Kluyveromyces lactis: one gene and its partner. The protein of the gene in region 1 purifies or fractionates together with the protein of each later gene. This does not show direct contact. Links are inferred from orthologs where the notes say so. Each region holds a gene or a part of one and is shown in the gene's direction. Other genes may lie near its edges.

The links.
Region 2: the proteins of HTZ1 (region 1) and KAP114 purify together in Saccharomyces cerevisiae (affinity purification with mass spectrometry; 5 studies listed by BioGRID, with this or other methods). This does not show direct contact. The link is inferred for Kluyveromyces lactis from reciprocal best matches to the Saccharomyces cerevisiae genes HTZ1 and KAP114.

What each region holds. Positions count from the first base shown.
Region 1 is NC_006039.1:522,432-524,828, reverse strand, and holds HTZ1 (histone H2AZ), read left to right. Parts: upstream 1-1,435; coding exon 1,436-1,834; downstream 1,835-2,397. Other genes in the region: PLB3 (lysophospholipase), read right to left, coding at 1-61; KLLA0_C05896g (OPA3 family protein), read right to left, coding at 2,279-2,397. UniProt on the Saccharomyces cerevisiae protein: Variant histone H2A which can replace H2A in some nucleosomes. Nucleosomes wrap and compact DNA into chromatin, limiting DNA accessibility to the cellular machineries which require DNA as a template.
Region 2 is NC_006037.1:74,788-79,215, forward strand, and holds KAP114 (karyopherin KAP114), read left to right. Parts: upstream 1-1,562; coding exon 1,563-4,421; downstream 4,422-4,428. Other genes in the region: TAD1 (tRNA-specific adenosine deaminase), read left to right, coding at 1-542; ankyrin repeat-containing protein ANK1, read right to left, coding at 648-1,163. UniProt on the Saccharomyces cerevisiae protein: Required for nuclear protein import and mediates docking of import substrate to distinct nucleoporins. Serves a receptor for nuclear localization signals. Mediates the nuclear import of TATA-binding protein (TBP) and of histones H2A and H2B.

The sequences.
Region 1 (2,397 bases):
CTAGATGTAGGGCAACCGAACATACCAGAAACAACAGATTAACTGAGTTCAAAAACCACATCAGAAAAGGAATAAACTAATCTTTAACTCGGAACAATTCTATAGATAACCTAACTCAGAGTTGATGTCTGCGCCCTTCACGATAATACTATGTACAGAAGTGACACACTCCAAAAGATTCAATAAAATAATCGTTTGATTTTACCGAGTGTGGACTTTCTATCGTAAAAGCTGATTGTTTAACTGCTTTAAGTTATGGACTTGGAAATCAACTTAATTGGGTCGAGTTAGGACTCAAGATGTAGATGAGAGAAACGGTAGCATTGTTATATATTCACCAGGTTCCATAGTTTATTGATTTATGACAAAATATTAGCTGAGCATTTAAACTTCTATATTTTCCACTTTTCTTCACGCAAAGTGTGTAGGATTGTTATAGTTAGAATTCATCACGCATGCCCGCAAAAAAATGTCTAAAAAAACGCACGGAAAATACAATCTATGTATTACCATAGTAACGACGCACCTAAGAAATGGTACAAGTGCATTATTATCAAAGGGTTTCCAAAAATTTTGTTAAGTAAATGCCCTTCCCCCTATAATAGACGCTGCATGAAGCCCCTATTAGTTGGAGGAAAGGAGGTAAAAGAGGCTGGCAATACAGACAAATTTTCGGATGCACGTACAAAAATTGGAACATTAGTCTAACTGAAAATGCTCAGTTGTCAAGCATTCACTTTAAAGCCCTTTTACTATTCCATTCGAAAAACGAATTCCGGCCCTCATTTAAAATTAAAGGGGACACACAGTGAAAATACCATCATTGCAGTAACACCACTACCATATGTTCTTCGAAATGAGCCGGAACGTTTCTTAAATCCATCAGTGGCTCCTACGCTCTTTAAGGGTACAAGGTTGCAAGCATCTCGAGTTCATAAATAGTTACCCTGCCATGCTGTCTCGTCTGAGGGAAAAGGAAAAAAAAAACAACCGGTAGAATAGCAGGCGGCAAAAAAAAAAAAATCAAGAAAGCGGCAAACTGCACTTCAAAGCTAGACCAATCAAACCGTATGTTCACCTTTGACAACTCCAGACATGTCGATGCCTGTATATCTTCATTATTTCAAATACCTTCGTCCCTCCCGGTTCTTCCTAGCCCTTACCCCAAATCTTATTACTTGTAGCAAATCTCACAATATGAAAGTAAGAGAGGAAACACGAAACTTTCAGACAGAAAAATAAAAATAAAAAATAAACATCAAAACAAACAAAAACAAATCGATATCAACTTAACTTAACTTAACTTCACATAAGTTGAATATTGGACCAGAGGGACTAAGAAAAGATAGAATCTGCTGTTTGCTTTCAAGTTTGAGATATATACGATCAGACATTGCAAGAAAGAGCATATTAAAGTTATTATAGGAGAAACAACATGTCAGGAAAAGTACACGGTGGAAAGGGTAAGTCGGGAGCCAAAGACAGTGGTTCATTGAAATCACAATCACATTCTGCTAGAGCTGGTCTTCAGTTTCCGGTTGGGAGAGTGAAGCGTTATTTGAAGAGAAATGCTGCTGGAAGAACCCGTGTTGGGTCCAAGGCTGCTATTTACTTGACTGCTGTTCTTGAGTATTTGACTGCTGAAGTTTTGGAATTGGCTGGTAACGCTGCTAAAGATTTGAAGGTGAAGAGAATTACCCCAAGACATTTACAACTTGCTATCAGAGGTGATGATGAATTAGACTCCTTGATCAGAGCCACTATCGCTTCTGGTGGTGTTCTACCTCATATCAACAAGGCTTTGTTGTTGAAAGTGGAAAAGAAGCATAAATGAAGCGTGAAAATTGTATCAATTTGAATGAAGTTTAATGAGACTAAGCGCTTAAAAACAGCTCTCTATTGTTATTTCATTATTATATTTCTTCTACTTTTTGACTCTAACTGTAATCATATCCCAGGGTGAAGGGTTGTATATTTTCATCTCCACTTCCCCCCCCTCTCTTTTCCCTTGTCGTGATGGTACACTACTAATTCACCGCATTATCTTATCTCAAAATATCAAAAGTGCAATTTAACCCTCATCTATTCCATTTCCATATTTTTATTAAACAGTTATGTATATGTAACATCTATAATCCAATTCCTACTTTTACTCATGACCTGTTAATATTAGAGCTTGTGTTTACGTCTATACTCAAATACTTATTCATTCCAGAATAGGACTATATACAAGTTTGTTCCGTTAGAATATCGGTGGTCCAATATCCTTTTTGTATTTTCATTTATGTGAGGAGAGTTTTGACTGAATTAATTTTAGTTCTTCCTTAAGACTTTGACATGATTTTATTTGGTCGCTTTGGGTCTTAGTCGTTGATCTCAGTTCTTCGATTTCCGATT
Region 2 (4,428 bases), on another chromosome or scaffold:
CGTGCTCGGACAAATTAACAATGAAGCAGATGATTTCAATCTGCAATGCTTTAACCTGGTCACTTCTGCAATCACCTGTATATTTAGAATGGATTGTTCTGCCAAAGCAGTACCAGTACGAGCAAGTACAGTTAGAAGATACATTTTGGTTAAGATTAAAGAATCAGCAATTCTTGCCCTTTAAGTTTTTATTTTGTAATGAGACTTTTTCTGCTGATCGAACCAACTTATCTCAACAACCTTCTTTGAGTTCTTGTGTATCGTTATATGGCTCGAACGAAGCAGTATCAGAGGTAATACTAAATGGGGTCAAAAATGGATTCTATGTCAAAGGCAAGAAACCACTTCGAAAAGGTTGCCAATCAATTATCAGTAGATGTGCACAGTGGTCTGCCTTCAAAAAGATAAAAGCCATGCCCTCTGATACGGATTACTATGGCTTCAAATCAAGCGTTGTTGATCGAAACCACATTATTTCCAAAGCGAAAGCCACGCTCTCTGCTAGTGGCTGGATATCAACCTGCAGAGATAATTGCATATGACAATCGCACCATGCAGTGTTTCGAAATCTGAAGTAGCTTAAAAGAATAACGTTTTTATCTGTTTCAACTTATAAAGAGAGACCAGGGAAACTATATAGATACGTACTAGTCATCTTCTGGGCCATCGTCGATCTCTTCTGCATCTTCTTCGTTAATTATTTTACCTTTGTTGTCCGCTGCAATTTCTGCACCTTGCAATAGATTTACCAAAGATTCCAATTCATCACTGTGAACCAGTTGCAGCGGAGTCTGCCCGCGTTTGTTTCTTATCCTTGGATCGGCACCAACTTCTATCAAGTTTTCAGCAATAAATGTACCATATTCTGGTTCATCGTGAGAGTAATTTACACATAAATGTAGTGCGGTATCGCCATCAATTGAATTTTGCTGGTTGACATCAACCCCCTCTTGATCCAATAGTACATCTAGAACATCCCACGATCCATACTTACTGCACAAATGGATGGCTGTGTTTCCCAAAGGGTCCTTAGAATCATTTATTAAAGACTGGATAGCCTGTTTATCACCATCCAATGTTTCAAGAACAGCATTCAACAAATCTGCGTTATTTCTTCTAGATGCATCAAGCAATTGTTCCTTTAATGATGCTCCCTCAGTCATGTTGTCCTATTTTATATCACTAGCAACCTTAATACTATCTAAGTTCACCAGGAATAAGTAATATATTTTTCAAGGTTCAGCAATGTGCAAATCAAATATGATAACAAGACGATAACACCTGCTATAATGATGAACTAATACGTATCTTGGTAGATTCTCCTCATATAATCGACCTTTAAATTTCATTGAGGTAATTGTCAACCTTCAATATTTCCAGCATTGAATTGAAACAGGAAAAAAAAAGACTGGGATATGCTCATCTCTTTACCAAATCCGAATAAATTATGAGTGTTAATGAAAAAATAATCCGAACAGCAACCTCTTATAACTCTACTATTAGTTTCAAGTTGCCGACAAAGCTGGTAAATACGCTAATTTCCATTACTGATTGATTGTCAGATGTCTATTCCTTATTTATTGGAAGGAATTCAGTCCCCACAGAAAGAAGAAAGAGAAGATGCAGAGAACAGTTTACTAGAACGTTGTGCTACAGATCCACCCGACACTTTTATCGAGTTGATTGATACAGCTACTAATAACAATGCTTCAGCCAGTACCAGGCAACTGGCTTTATTGTGTTTAAGAAAGTTCACTACTATGTATTGGTCCGCAGGTTTTCCCTCATTTGTTGGACCGCCAGGTGTGGGCGAACAAGGGAAAGATCTAGTAAGGCGAGGTCTTTTAAGTTTACTTGCAAACGAAGATACCGAGAAGAAGGTTATCTCTACTGTAACTTATTGCATTGTTCAGATTTGCGCTGTTGACTTCCCAGATGAATGGCCTGGATTGTTAGATTATTTGAATGAGAATATTCTAAATTATCATTCAGAAAATGCCATCAGCCTACTGACGGAACTTGTTCAAGATATTATTACAAATGAGATGTTTTTCGATAACCATTCGGGAGCCAAGATAGTAAATACGGTTTTGTTAGCATTAAATGACGATACTTTGCGTTTGCAAGCGAAATCGAAACTCTTACAACTATACCACCATTGCATATCTCAATTACGCAACGTTTCAATGTTTGTTACATCTGAGCTTATGAGCGAGTGGCTCATTCCTCACTTAAAAGCTATGAATGACTGCATCGATAAGTTATTAGAAAGCTATGGAAATAATATGGAATCTGAAGTAATTGGACTCAAAGGAGAACTGTTTATGGCATTAAGTAAATTATTCGACCTCAATCAGAGCATTTTGGGTTCTAATGGAGATTTATCATATAGACTACGAATAACTTTGGATGCTATCAAGTCAAATGCTAACAGCTATGCCAGAGCTCTCACAAATAACGACGAACTAAGGTTAGAGATAATTAACTCCAGTTGTATCAATACCGTCCAATATCTTGCATACATCCCATCAGATCTTATAGAAAATCCCACATTACCGGATTTCACAGAAGATTTCATCAAATTGTGTTTGCTTCCTGAAGACTACTTTAAACTGTCAGACTTCAATGAATTTATTTCTAAAGAAACTGGATTATCAGCTTCATATAATGCCAGAGATGAAATTGGCCAATATGTTTCAAGCTGCAGCGACGAGATATATCGTCACATCACTGATTCCGTATTGCAAAAATGCCTACAAGTCACTTCAAATGAGGCACAGTACCAAGAAGCGTGTCTATTCTTATTCCAAGAATTATGCTCCAACGAGACAAGCATGAATGTTCCAAGATATCAGGATTTCTTATCTTTGGCCGTGATGATTCTAGATGATGATGCCTGTCCTACATTTGTGAAATCAAGAACTATATTAACAATACCCAAGTTCTTCGAGAATAACATGGAAACTTTACCTGAAATCAAACAGTTAGTGCAACAATTCCTTGTGAAGACAGTTAATTGTACAATTTCAGCTGAAGACGACTTTCTTTTGGCATCGTTAGTCATATCATTCACTTATTACACCTCATTCGCTGAACTTGGCAGTATTCTTGATTACCAAACGTCTATGATTTTGCAACAGTCGTTGCTAAAGGCAATTAAAACTCTTTATGTTGATAGTGAAGAAGATTCTCTTGGTCTTCTTCTTGAAGCAATGCACGAAATTGTCAAAACTTGGCATTTCCAACAGGATCTTCATACTAAACAAGAAATTTTGAACTTGCTTTTGAAGTTATCCTCAAGTGAACCATCCAATGTGAGAATAGTCTTTGAATCTGTCCGGTCACTTCCTTATCTCTTGAGAGATATCAATTGTACAGATTACACTAGACTTTGTGAAAGCTGTTTCCCAAGTTTTATAGAAGCTATGTCAACGTTCTTACAAAGCCAACAAACTTATTCACCACTGGTTGTCCTTGCACTAGAATTTCTCTCAGTATTTCTGAAGAATCCACCGGTGGGAAACCATATTTCTGATGAAGTGGCTGAATACGTTCTCAACCCAATTGTGCAGTTTATCAAACAGTGTCCTGATGAAAACATCGCCGAGACTGCCTTGCAGGCTTTTGTTTATTTGGCTTGTAATTCTAATCCTAAGTTCTGGAAAGATTCAATGTTCGACTTATGCTCTTTAGTATTTGATCCTGAGAGGTCACTTTATAAAACCATTGATGTTGCTCCTATAATGTTGCTTTCACTAAGAGTTACACAGCCACATGAAAACAGATTTATAGGGCAGATTATGGAGTATACAATCTCCAAGTTAGTGGACCCTAATAAACTGCATCCAGTCGACAGTTTTATAATAATATCCTGTGAGGTTATCTTAAAAGATATTCAAAGTTTCCTTGCATATATCTTCTCAATACCTATTTCTGCGGAAGAATCAATACCTAATAAGTTAATCCGTGAGTTATTTGATTGCTTTGAAGAAAACCGCAGCAAAAATATGTTGAAGGAAGTGGCATTATCACTATCTGAACTCTTTTTTTCTAACGACCAGAGGCTTACTCGGTCTTCATATCATGATGAATCTGATGGCGTGGTAAGACCTTTTAAAGAGTATATTGTAAAGATGTTTGCGGATGAATTGACAAGACAAACTGATATTGAAGAAGAAGAAGAAGAAGAAGAAGAAGAAGAAAACGACATAACCCCCAAAGATTATGAAGAGGACTACGTGTCACAACTAAATGATGATGTGGTATTACTTACTGGTCGTGTTATCGATATGGAACTCAAAGAAATATTAGTGCAGTTTTTCAAAAGTACACAGCAGTCGAATGACAACTCATTGGGTAGAGTTCTGAAGAACTTGGATGAACAAGAACGCCTGAAAATATTATCCGCTCTATTCGAATGATTCTTAA